3 linked regions of the Arabidopsis thaliana genome follow. The protein of the gene in region 1 interacts with the protein of each later gene in a pairwise test. Each region holds a gene or a part of one and is shown in the gene's direction. Other genes may lie near its edges.

What was found.
Region 2: the proteins of AT1G08590 (region 1) and AT3G29240 interact in a two-hybrid assay, tested with the Arabidopsis thaliana proteins (one study listed by BioGRID).
Region 3: the proteins of AT1G08590 (region 1) and LHB1B1 interact in a two-hybrid assay, tested with the Arabidopsis thaliana proteins (one study listed by BioGRID).

Annotation. Positions count from the first base shown.
Region 1 is NC_003070.9:2,716,886-2,722,838, forward strand, and holds AT1G08590 (Leucine-rich receptor-like protein kinase family protein), read left to right. Parts: upstream 1-1,652; 5' UTR 1,653-1,973; coding exon 1,974-5,063; 3' UTR 5,064-5,395; downstream 5,396-5,953.
Region 2 is NC_003074.8:11,189,279-11,193,591, forward strand, and holds AT3G29240 (PPR containing protein (DUF179)), read left to right. Parts: upstream 1-1,984; 5' UTR 1,985-2,501; coding exon 2,502-2,646; intron 2,647-2,781; coding exon 2,782-3,590; 3' UTR 3,591-3,766; downstream 3,767-4,313. Other genes in the region: AT3G29230 (Tetratricopeptide repeat (TPR)-like superfamily protein), read left to right, coding at 1-1,327.
Region 3 is NC_003071.7:14,522,772-14,526,465, forward strand, and holds LHB1B1 (light-harvesting chlorophyll-protein complex II subunit B1), read left to right. Parts: upstream 1-1,835; 5' UTR 1,836-2,046; coding exon 2,047-2,847; 3' UTR 2,848-3,147; downstream 3,148-3,694. Other genes in the region: LHB1B2 (photosystem II light harvesting complex protein B1B2), read right to left, coding at 1-742.

The DNA of each region.
Region 1 (5,953 bases):
AATATGAAAGGGCATATTATAAAGTTAGATTTGAGCAATTATTTTTTCCTTCTTATGAATATGATAATAGAGGATAAATTTGAAAGGACAAAGAACTTTAATTAGAGGTACTGTCCATATCTACCTTGCAAACCTACAACAATTAAATGTGTTGGACGAACCGATAGTCGATACTCGATAGTCGATAATGGATATATATGCTCGAGGTACGTAAAATTTAGATGTTAATCCGCAAGAATATATAGAGTTGTGCTAGATGTATTAATTAAGATATCGATCTCCAAAAAGTCTATACACTCACGAGAATATGTTTCATATAGTTTTTGGGATCAATTATGGTGATTCTTCTAATGTGAACATGATTCATTCATTTAATGGGTATATCCGATCGAATATATATGTTTTAGATTTTAAGAACAAAATAAAAATGATAGATGGCCCTTTTCGATGGTTCTAAACTTTATTTTGATATCGTGAGAGCACTTAATGCTACTTTGTTCTTCACGCAATCAGCATGCATATTTACTCACAAGTTGCAACCACACGAATATAAACAAATTCGGTTACGGACTTAGGGCTACATATTCAGTTACGTCTTGATGTCATATGCATAGTTTATTGAAGCTCCTTGTCTAAAAATGCATTAATATGCAAACTTTATGCATATATCATATGTATGGCCTTAAATCTCTCAACTCAAACTAATATACAGAGAAAAAAAAATTCTGATAATCGTATTTTGAAAAACATTAAAATCTGTGTTTATAAGATCTAGAAAAACATATATGTCTACATGAATGCAATAATTTAATTAATGTATTTGTATTTTTTTTTTTCAATGCATGTGTAAGTAGATATATTTGATGTATGTATATCTCTCTAGTCTCTACGTAGGTGTCATGGGACGTTCCTAGCTACTTGCAACTTGGCAATGGAGTTATGAACTTTCTTATTTCCTAATTTTAATTATGTTGGAACAACGTGGGAAGATTCTCTCACGACCATCATCTTTCATGTGTGTTTTTTTAATGACGCCATTCGAAACAAAACATTCTCCCGACTAATGAAGACATGCGGAAACTCAACCTAGCTCGACCGCCAAGGATGATATAACTAACCTTATAACCAATAAAAACTTTGCGTTCTTTAGTTACTCATATTTAAGTGAAGTTAAATCATTTGTAAAAAAACATTGTTTGTGTCAAATCATTGGTGAGGTAGAACTAAAATGGTAGTTTTCTTAAAAGACTTTGATCTTGCCTAATTAGCCATCATCTTTGAATAGAAAATAGTTATATTGGACAGTAAGTGAGACACATTCTCTGCCCATGTTTCACTGTCCCACAAATCTCTAATGAGGACAAAGCTTTACAAGTCACTCAGTGTTTTATGATTTAGCTAGCTGTTCAGAAACCCACGATTTCTTCATATTATATATCCCATTATCATTATTTTAATCTTCTTTCTCACCGCTTAGTTGTTTGATATTGCACAGATCAGCAAGATAATCCTTCAGGATATGGTTATGGAATTAGTGCTCCTCAAAATTTTCGGTTCGACTTTATTCACAATTTAGCATTTGGGTATGCATATGAAACAAACTTATAATCTAATTTCGTTTTCTCAAACACAATTCACAATTTAACACACGAAGATAGATGAAAACATCAAGGAAATTGTATCACTTTTTCTACTATGTAATGTCACAGATGCAGAAACAAAGCGAACTACTTGCTATCATACAAATTGTTATGACGCCAATGGAACTCGCATATTATTCCACCGAACGAAAAAGAAACACAATCATGATAAAATAATTGAGAGAGATTAAATAAAATTAGATTCTGACTAATCATTGTTTTTCAGCTTTTGGTTTCCACTCTCTTATTATCAACTTCGCTTGGGGACCTTCAATCTCAGTTGCACAAAAATGCCATAAAACTAGCCAAAAAGTGAAGAAATAGAGGAGAAAAATGGCGATCCCTCGACTTTTCTTCCTCTTCTATTACATTGGTTTCGCTCTTTTCCCTTTTGTTTCTTCTGAAACATTTCAAAACTCCGAACAAGAGATCTTGTTGGCCTTCAAGTCAGACCTTTTTGATCCTTCAAATAATCTCCAAGATTGGAAGAGACCTGAGAATGCCACAACATTTTCTGAGTTGGTTCATTGTCATTGGACAGGAGTTCACTGTGATGCAAATGGCTATGTGGCTAAGCTTCTTCTCTCCAACATGAATCTCAGCGGAAACGTGTCAGATCAGATTCAGAGCTTCCCTTCTCTGCAAGCCCTTGATCTCAGCAATAACGCATTTGAGTCTTCTCTTCCTAAATCTCTTTCTAATCTCACGTCTTTGAAGGTCATTGATGTGAGTGTGAACAGCTTCTTTGGAACCTTCCCTTATGGTCTAGGAATGGCAACTGGTCTTACACACGTCAATGCCTCAAGCAACAATTTTTCGGGGTTTCTACCTGAAGATCTTGGCAACGCAACTACACTTGAGGTTTTGGACTTTCGAGGAGGTTACTTCGAGGGCTCAGTGCCTTCTTCTTTCAAGAATCTCAAGAATCTGAAGTTTCTCGGTCTTTCGGGTAACAACTTTGGTGGAAAGGTACCGAAGGTGATTGGTGAGCTCTCTTCCTTGGAGACCATTATTCTTGGTTACAATGGCTTCATGGGTGAGATTCCAGAAGAGTTTGGGAAATTGACGCGCCTTCAGTACCTTGATTTGGCTGTTGGAAACCTTACAGGCCAGATTCCATCTTCTTTGGGGCAGCTGAAACAACTTACAACAGTTTATCTCTACCAGAACCGTCTCACAGGGAAACTTCCTCGAGAACTTGGTGGTATGACTTCTCTTGTGTTTCTTGATCTGTCTGATAACCAGATCACAGGAGAAATACCTATGGAAGTAGGTGAGTTGAAGAATCTGCAGCTTCTAAATTTGATGAGGAATCAACTCACGGGAATCATTCCGTCAAAAATTGCTGAATTACCAAACCTTGAGGTTCTTGAGCTGTGGCAGAACTCTCTCATGGGTTCATTACCGGTGCATCTCGGCAAAAATTCCCCATTGAAGTGGTTAGACGTCTCATCAAACAAGCTTTCAGGAGATATACCATCAGGATTGTGCTATTCCAGAAACCTCACAAAGCTCATTCTCTTCAACAACTCATTCTCAGGTCAGATTCCGGAGGAAATCTTCTCATGTCCGACTTTAGTTCGTGTTCGAATCCAGAAAAATCACATTTCCGGATCTATACCAGCTGGTTCAGGTGACTTACCAATGCTTCAGCATCTAGAGCTCGCAAAAAACAACCTCACCGGTAAAATTCCAGATGATATAGCCTTATCCACATCACTCTCATTTATAGACATATCATTTAATCATCTCTCATCCCTATCTTCCTCCATTTTCTCAAGTCCTAATCTTCAAACCTTCATTGCCTCACATAACAACTTTGCCGGAAAAATTCCTAACCAGATTCAAGATCGTCCATCTTTGTCTGTCCTCGATCTTTCCTTCAACCATTTCTCAGGTGGAATCCCAGAAAGGATCGCTTCTTTTGAAAAACTTGTGAGTCTAAATCTCAAGAGCAACCAATTGGTTGGAGAAATCCCTAAGGCATTAGCCGGGATGCACATGTTAGCTGTTCTTGATCTCTCAAACAACTCTTTGACGGGGAATATACCAGCGGACTTGGGAGCTTCTCCAACACTGGAGATGTTAAACGTGTCATTCAACAAACTCGACGGACCCATTCCTTCAAACATGCTGTTTGCAGCCATAGACCCAAAAGACCTCGTGGGAAACAATGGCTTATGCGGTGGAGTTCTACCACCTTGCTCTAAGAGCCTAGCTTTGTCAGCAAAAGGCCGAAATCCAGGGAGAATTCACGTGAATCACGCAGTCTTCGGGTTCATTGTTGGAACTTCAGTCATCGTGGCTATGGGGATGATGTTCTTGGCAGGGAGATGGATATACACAAGATGGGATCTTTACAGCAACTTTGCTAGAGAGTATATATTCTGCAAGAAACCTCGGGAGGAATGGCCATGGAGACTCGTGGCTTTCCAGAGACTGTGCTTCACTGCAGGAGACATCTTATCACATATCAAAGAATCAAACATCATTGGAATGGGAGCCATAGGGATTGTTTACAAAGCAGAAGTCATGAGACGGCCATTACTCACTGTAGCTGTGAAAAAACTGTGGAGATCACCATCACCACAAAATGATATCGAAGATCATCATCAAGAAGAAGATGAAGAGGACGACATACTCAGAGAAGTGAACCTACTTGGTGGTCTACGACATAGAAACATTGTGAAGATTCTAGGTTACGTTCACAACGAGAGAGAAGTGATGATGGTATACGAGTACATGCCCAATGGAAACCTAGGAACTGCTTTGCATTCCAAAGATGAGAAATTCTTACTAAGAGATTGGCTCTCACGATACAATGTCGCCGTCGGAGTCGTTCAAGGTCTCAATTACTTGCACAACGATTGCTATCCTCCGATCATTCACAGAGACATCAAGTCTAATAACATCCTCCTCGATTCAAACCTTGAAGCGAGGATAGCAGATTTCGGATTGGCGAAGATGATGCTTCATAAGAACGAGACCGTTTCTATGGTGGCTGGATCTTACGGGTATATAGCGCCGGAGTACGGATACACACTGAAGATTGACGAAAAGAGTGATATATACAGTCTAGGCGTTGTGCTTCTGGAATTGGTGACTGGGAAAATGCCGATAGATCCTTCGTTTGAGGATTCGATTGACGTGGTTGAGTGGATTCGGAGGAAGGTGAAGAAGAACGAGAGCTTGGAAGAAGTGATCGACGCGAGCATCGCCGGAGATTGTAAACACGTGATCGAAGAGATGCTCCTGGCACTGCGAATCGCTCTTCTCTGCACCGCGAAGCTACCGAAGGATAGACCATCGATTAGAGACGTCATCACAATGCTCGCGGAGGCGAAGCCACGCCGGAAAAGTGTTTGCCAAGTCGCCGGGGATTTGCCGATTTTCAGAAACTCGCCAGTGGTAGGGCTGATTTAGATGACGGAGGCGATAAGGGTAGTTTTGTCATTTCATCAGCTGGGGCTAATTTTAACATTGGGCTAACAAGTTAACTTTGGGCTGAATCAAAAACCCATGTTTTCAAATCTGATGGGTGCACTAAAGCCCATTGAACCAAATGACATGATTCAAAATTGTAATAGGCCCCTTGTTGATGGCTGATCCAGCAAATTGTAGTTACCAGAGGCTAAAAAAATAATAAATAAAGATTTTAATTAGTTTTGTTTTAATGGAATATTAATCTTTCAATTCACAGAGAAATATTATCTTTTATGATACAATAATTATAAATAAAAAAATTTGATTTTTTTCTATAAATGAATTTTTATGAACGAAATATAAGTTAAATATATTGTATATGTTCTTGATTAATTTCTTCTATTCTGAATTTGTTTCCATTTCCGGTTAAAATTTTTGATTCGCAATTGCTTACATCAACTATAGTCTATATATGACAAAGTCAAATATCCAAAAACGAGATTTTGTAATTATGAGAATCAGTCTTTGGCAATAATCTCTGATATACTCAAAATAGAGTGAATACAATTATTGGTTTTTCATGCTAAATATGAGTTTGCTATATATACCAAATGGTTATATAAATTTTTTTGGGGACAAAAGATAATTAAATATACAGCAAATGGTCAAGTTACCTTCTTCTTCTTTTTTTTTTCTTTTTGTTATCATAAAATTTTATAAAAAATGGTAAAACTACATATGCCAACAGAGAAAAAATAACCCTAGGCTGGTTAAACATATTAAAATTTTCAGTGACAACAATCCTAAAAAAAATATAACTTTAGAAAATAACTAATAAAATACAAATCAAAATTGCAAAATTAAACATAAATTTTAATTATATTCTAATT
Region 2 (4,313 bases), on another chromosome or scaffold:
TGATTGTTATTCTAGATGTGGTGGTTTGGGTGTTAGAGATGCTATGAAGTTGTTTGAGAAGATGAGTGAAAGAGATACTGTGTCTTGGAATTCGATGCTTGGTGGGTTAGTGAAAGCTGGGGAATTGAGAGATGCACGGAGACTGTTCGATGAAATGCCTCAGAGGGATTTGATTAGTTGGAATACTATGTTGGATGGTTATGCTAGGTGTAGAGAGATGAGTAAAGCGTTTGAGTTGTTTGAGAAGATGCCTGAGAGAAATACTGTGTCTTGGTCGACGATGGTTATGGGTTATAGTAAAGCTGGGGATATGGAAATGGCTAGAGTTATGTTTGATAAAATGCCATTGCCTGCTAAAAATGTTGTCACTTGGACGATAATTATTGCTGGGTATGCGGAGAAGGGGCTTTTGAAGGAGGCTGATAGATTAGTTGACCAAATGGTGGCTTCAGGATTGAAATTTGATGCTGCGGCTGTGATTAGTATCTTGGCTGCTTGTACTGAGTCTGGTTTGCTCAGTTTAGGAATGAGGATTCACTCCATACTGAAAAGGTCTAATCTCGGTTCGAATGCTTATGTGTTGAATGCACTACTTGATATGTATGCAAAATGTGGTAACCTAAAGAAAGCGTTTGATGTGTTTAACGATATACCCAAGAAGGATCTCGTGTCTTGGAACACTATGCTTCATGGTCTTGGCGTTCATGGCCACGGAAAGGAAGCAATCGAGCTTTTTTCGAGAATGAGAAGGGAAGGGATTCGGCCTGATAAAGTCACGTTTATTGCTGTTTTGTGTTCCTGTAATCACGCGGGTCTCATTGATGAAGGAATAGATTACTTCTACTCAATGGAGAAAGTATATGATCTTGTTCCACAAGTTGAACACTATGGTTGTCTTGTTGACCTATTAGGTCGAGTAGGGCGGTTAAAGGAAGCGATAAAGGTTGTCCAAACAATGCCAATGGAGCCCAATGTTGTTATTTGGGGTGCTCTTCTTGGAGCGTGCAGGATGCATAACGAGGTGGATATTGCTAAGGAAGTTCTGGATAATCTGGTTAAATTAGACCCTTGTGATCCTGGAAACTATTCGCTTCTGTCAAATATTTATGCAGCAGCAGAGGATTGGGAAGGAGTTGCTGACATAAGATCAAAGATGAAGAGTATGGGAGTAGAGAAACCATCTGGAGCTAGTTCGGTTGAATTGGAGGATGGGATACATGAATTTACAGTGTTCGACAAATCACACCCAAAATCTGATCAAATATATCAGATGCTTGGTAGTTTAATTGAACCTCCAGATCCTGGTGAGCTGGTTGCTGTTCGATAAACTGCTTAGTTTATGTCCAGATCATTAGGTATTATATCGATTATAGGCTGTGAGCATCAGCACTGTGGCCTAGGCCAAAAATTTGTAGTTCATTTTCCAAAGGAACACAAAGATGGTTTTATCCTTGTAACGAGTTCGAGTACTGTATATAGAGCATAATTTATAAATCTTGAGATCAATTTGATTTTGCAATACTAACTCCCGTCTCCAGACATGGGGTTTCTGGTTCTTAATCCAATAACAGGTTCTGTGACCAACCTTGAAGATGACAGTAACAAGAGAAGACTAGGCAGGACCAAAGACATTCAAACTCCCACATAACCTCATTGTGAGTAATATTGTGACTTCGTGAAAATTCCACTGATGATGTATTGTCGGTGATGTATTATCATTGGACGTCAGTGTGATGACGTATTGCTGGTGATGTTACCTTTGGATGAACCAACTAGTTATTTAGAATGATGTTTAGATGGTCAAATTAGAACAAAACTCGTGGGGTTTATTTTATTACAAGAATCAATGTCTTAATGATGTTGAGTTGATCTCTTAAGTTTCCTTTTTGTAGTGATATTCCCATTGAAATAGTAATAAAATAATGGAGAAAAGAGGACCACCAATAGTGCTTCCTTGATTTGTTCCATCCACAATAGATGACTTTGATCATACCAAAAAAAAAGTCTAAACCCGTTATAATGGTCATTCACTTGTTCTTAAGACCCTTTTATGAATGATCCAAATTTTACTGATTCACGTAAGAAAAAAAAGAGAGATAGAGGATTAGAGATTATGGGGATGAAGTTTATCTAGTTGGTGGATGTAGTAATTATACGTGCTTTTTTTCCACAGGAGTGGGTAAGTAACTGCAGAGGCAAACCTTGAGTGGCCACTAGGGTTACACATCATCAAAAAAAAGGTGATAAAAGATTTGTCTCTTATCCAAAATCCAAAGGCATATGGAAATGTTTATCTTTAAATACATCAACACCTTAAAGGTTACGGTATATCCATTGCCCATTCCTCTGACTAGGACGACCCCTTTAGAACTTAATACATTCAGCCTGTGGTTCACAGTTCTCCACTCTCTTATATTTAGATGTTATTTTTCTGTTCTACCTTCTCTTCATAGGAACTAAAGTGAATTGAGTCAGAGAAAAAGAGAAAGAGAGAAGGTAACATGGATGCTTGTTTTCTTACCTCAAGATCAATCTCTGGTGTTAAAGAGCTTGTCCCGTTCATCAAAGCGAGAATCTTTACTTGCCCCAAGAGAAATTCTGGCCAATTTGTTACCAGGAAGGTTGCTTCTCCGATCTCTGTAAATTGTAAGTAAGATCTCTTTCATGGTCATTTTGATCTATAAGAATGGCCTGAGTATCGCAATAACATGTCTTGGTTTGGGAATTTGCCTGTCTTGAGTGAAATTATTGTAGCTGATGAGAGCATTTTGGTTTGAGTAGGTTCTCTTTCGGATTCATGGAAGCCACTGGAAGATGATGCTGATCTCTTCAAGGATTGTGTCAACAATTCTACATCAGATGCTGATTGGAGGGAGTTCAGGGCAAGGCTTGTTGCAGGGGAACAAGCTGCAACGTCCGAGAAGGATCAGCCCTCGTGGTCTAACCCGGACATGGTGGTGGACTATCAGCCATCATCGTCCTCACTGATCACAATTGGAAGCAAATGGGCACACAAGATCCATGAGCCAGAGACAGGCTGCCTCCTAATCGCCACAGAGAAGCTAGACGGTGTCCACATCTTCGAAAAGACGGTGATCCTCCTCCTCTCTGTTGGACCCTCAGGTCCTATAGGAGTCATCCTAAACCGTCCATCTCTGATGTCTATTAAGGAGACCAAGTCAACGATATTAGACATGGCAGGAACGTTTTCAGACAAAAGACTCTTCTTTGGTGGACCTTTGGAAGAAGGGTTGTTCTTGGTGAGTCCAAGGAGTGGTGGAGACAACGAGGTTGGTAAGAGCGGAGTATTCAGACAAGTGATGAAAGGATTGTACTATGGAACGAGAGAGAGTGTAGGATTGGCTGCAGAGATGGTGAAGAGGAATTTGGTTGGAAGAAGTGAGCTTAGATTCTTTGATGGGTATTGTGGTTGGGAAAAAGAGCAGTTAAAAGCAGAGATCTTGGGAGGGTATTGGACTGTTGCTGCTTGTAGCTCCACTGTTGTTGAGCTTGGTTCAGCTGTCCAAAGTCATGGTCTTTGGGATGAGGTTCTTGGGCTTATTGGGCCTCAAACGGGCTCTGTTATCTAAACCTTGTTTTTGTACTGCATTTCACTAATGGTTTATGGTATGACTATGTGTATGGTTTATCAATGTACTGTATGTATTAAACATCCATCACTAATTTATATTTGTTTGTTTCTCGTTTAATAGCCTAAAAATAATTACAAGGAGATTAAGAAAAACATATGAACCTTAATAATTACTCCATCTTCTAAACTGTAATGTATAATGATAGTCACAATGCCATTGGTTGTCAAAACAAAAAAATGGTTTTATCATGTTCAAACGAAGCATATACAACTTTGGTACTTGATACTTGCCTTGTACTTGCGAGTCTTCAAATTTTGTGACTCTTTACCCGGCTTGTCTATTACGGGTATTTGTTTTTTCAAGGCGAGTACTGTGCAAGTAACGAGTCCATCAACTTTAGAAGATGGATTATATTGGTTACTAAGAAAATCTCAAAAAGTCAAAATCTAACAAATATTTCGTGTTGTATGAGGTTGCGTGCAACTTCAATTGGATTTCTTAGTTAAAAAATAGAGTCATCAATATAGATTCAGACGGCTGAATAGTCTTATAAATATCTTTTATTTTTGTCTAAGTAAATTTGAAAACACTGCCTATTTTTTTGTGCACCAAATACGTCATTACGGAGTTGAGCGATTACAATGAGAGAAACACAATCGGACATTATTCAAAGTGCATATCAGCTAAATCATAAGAAAAGAAGCTAAAACAACAAGAGTA
Region 3 (3,694 bases), on another chromosome or scaffold:
CGGCCAAATGGTCGGCGAGGTTCTCCAAAGGTCCCTTTCCGGTGACGATGGCTTGAACGAAGAATCCAAACATAGAGAACATAGCCAACCTTCCGTTCTTGAGCTCCTTCACCTTCAACTCTGCGAAAGCCTCGGGGTCAGTAGCGAGGCCCAATGGGTCGAAGCTGCCACCTGGGTAAAGCAAGTCCTCTGCTTCTCCCAATGGACCATCTCCGGCGACTCTGTAGCCTTCAACAGCTCCCATGAGGATAACTTGAGTAGCCCAAATGGCTAAGATGCTCTGAGCGTGGACCAAGCTCGGGTTGCCCAAGTAGTCCAATCCTCCGTCGCTGAAGATCTGTGAACCGGCCTTGAACCAAACCGCTTCTCCGAACTTCACTCCGTTCCTAGCCAATAGCTCAGGGAAAACGCAGCCTAGGGCTCCGAGCATGGCCCATCTGCTGTGGATAACTTCTAGCTCACGGTTCCTGGCGAAGGTCTCTGGGTCGGCGGATAGACCAGCGGTGTCCCATCCGTAGTCACCGGGGAACTCACCGGTAAGGTAGCTCGGGGGCTCGCCGGAGAATGGACCCAAGTACTTGACTCGGTCAGATCCGTACCATGGGCTGCCTGATGGACCCTTTGGCTTGGCGACAGTCTTCCTCATGGTCACACGGCCGCTTCCGAGGACATCTGATGCGGCAGGCTTCACAGCCTTTCCGGCGAAGGCAGGGGAGGACAAAGCCATGGTTGAGGAAGCCATTATAATCTTTGTTTTTGTGTTTTCTTTTTTTTGGTTGTGACTGGTGAGAGTGATTGAAAATGGTTGGGGTATACGTCCACTTTATAGCAATGTTAAGAGTAAGGTTTGTTATCTGTGAAGTATCTGTATCTGTTTAGTGATTGGCTTATGAGATTTTGGGATTGTCGTTATCTTGTCCTATGTGTCACTCTCTAGTCCATAAGCTTTTGCTAGATTCTTTAGCTGCAACGAAAACACTTGTCATTTGTACACAAAGAAACTTTGGGGAAATTTTCAAAGATAAATGCTTGAATTATTGGAAAGAAATATTTGAAATTATTCCAATCTATTTTTTTCTTTTTCCTTGTTTTCTTTAATTCCAATCCACTTCATGCTCTCAATAATATTTTCTTTTTTTTCTTATCAAGTTTGTTTCGAACGCCAAACTACAAAGTTTTTAAGTGAAACTAGAAACACTTACCAAACAAATATATATCAATGTTATGTAAAACAATGCAGTTAGATGAAACAAAAAGTGATACGAAGTTCTTACGATCATAAGTTAATAATATAAAACCGTCGACAATGATATTAACTGATACCTTTGATTGATTTTGTTGAATGTTTTCGGCAACAAATATGACTGGTAAGTTTTTCTTGCCAATACGAATTAGAAAACATGTCTTTGAAGATGAACTGTATTTTTTTTTTTTACTTTGTTGTCATTTTAATGTACTTTCTTATCAGGATTAAATCTTCTGTAATTTAGAGTAGTTTTTTTAACAAGATAATTAACAAACTTAGAGTAATGAAAATTGAGATGTTCAGTTTTCACTCATATTTCACATTTTGGTGAAAGAGTGGGTAGTATGCAACGTTCTAAGTATGTTTGGACTTTGTATCATGTTGTTTTGATTCTTTGACGACATGTCTATTTGGGAAACACCAATGACGTGTACCTTGAGACTGATACGATTCAAAGGGATAGAAACACGTCAGATTTACAAGTGGCACGTCTTCAATGGACAATGGGTATTCCAATATGCTAAGATGCTACGAGATATCTAATTTATCTAACACAACTCAATTCCAAACCAAAAATCTGATGCCAGCTCGACAAGACAAAAAATCTAAGCTCAAAAATGTCAACAACCAATAGAAATCAAGGCATTGACGATATCACGAGATAAGCAAATTAAATCTTCAAGTTTTGCAATTCATATGTACGTTATAAATACCCAAAAACCTCACCGTAACCTAGCTATCCAATTTCATCACATCTTATTAACTAAAGAGCCTTTTACTTGCGCCACACTCTCACCGCAATGGCCGCCTCGACAATGGCTCTCTCCTCTCCTGCTTTGACCGGAAAGGCCGTTAAGCTATCCCCGGCGGCCTCCGAAGTATTTGGAACCGGCCGAATCACCATGCGCAAAGCCTCCAAGCCCACCGGTCCATCCGGCAGCCCATGGTACGGATCCGACCGAGTCAAGTACTTGGGTCCATTCTCCGGTGAGCCTCCGAGCTACCTCACTGGAGAGTTCCCCGGTGATTACGGGTGGGACACTGCCGGTCTATCCGCCGATCCCGAGACCTTCGCTAGGAACCGTGAGCTAGAAGTTATCCACAGCAGATGGGCCATGCTCGGAGCCCTAGGCTGCGTTTTCCCTGAGCTATTGGCTAGGAACGGAGTGAAGTTCGGAGAAGCGGTTTGGTTCAAGGCTGGTTCACAGATCTTCAGCGACGGAGGATTGGACTACTTGGGCAACCCGAGCTTGGTCCACGCTCAGAGCATCTTAGCCATTTGGGCTACTCAAGTTATCCTCATGGGAGCTGTTGAGGGCTACAGAGTCGCCGGAGATGGTCCATTGGGAGAAGCAGAGGACTTGCTTTACCCAGGTGGGAGCTTCGACCCATTGGGCCTCGCTACTGACCCCGAGGCTTTCGCGGAGTTGAAGGTGAAGGAGCTCAAGAACGGAAGGTTGGCTATGTTCTCTATGTTTGGATTCTTCGTTCAGGCCATTGTCACCGGAAAGGGACCGTTGGAGAACCTCGCGGACCACTTGGCTGATCCAGTCAACAACAATGCATGGGCCTTCGCTACCAACTTCGTCCCCGGAAAGTGAGTTTAATTTGTGATCGAGTTGTGTGTATCCGGTTTGTTGCATCTTGGAAATGTGATGCAGATTTCATATCTTGTAAATTACTTTGTATGTGTGTGAAATATTTAAGAAGCTTTATGATATTGATGGATCAGTCACTTACTATTTACTAATGTGCAAGAACATACTTAGACCTAATTCGGTGTTCACACAACATAGTTTGGTTCCAAGAACAGAGATAATACCAAATGATTTGATCGTACCACATCAAAGTCCAAACAAGTTTGTTTTTGTTCTTCAAAATAACTAAAATATATCTCAAACCATCCTTATATGTTTTTAACTTTTTTGTCTTTCACTTTTGGTGTGACTTCTTCAATCGGATTTTGATGTTGCATTGTTGAGAGTTTTGGTGATAAGGAATCCAAAGTCTTGGTCATAATTTTTCTCTTGTTCAAATTTAATTGCACGGAATTTTTCATGCAATTTGGGTGTGTTTGGTATGCAAATTGTCAAAGACTTTATTTTTGATAATGTAGTTCGGAGTCTTGAAAGCATTTGTAGGTCTTATGGTCGACGCTCTTGTTTTAGGTTTCTAATTAAAAAAACATGGTTAAGTTGAATGTGACTGAACTCATAAGTCATTCGAGTGACTCGCAAACCTTTGGACTCCTGTCCTCAGTGGGCATTCGCAAACAAAAACGTTTGAAACGGTCCATAACTTTTTATTTTAATTCAACGACACCATTTGCAAAAACTTTTGAACTACATAACATGGTCGATAACTTATTAATCAACGAGAGGTCTACAAAGAAGAAAAAAAAAATCACTTTGGAGAATAACGACCAGAATATAAAATAAACTTCTAAAT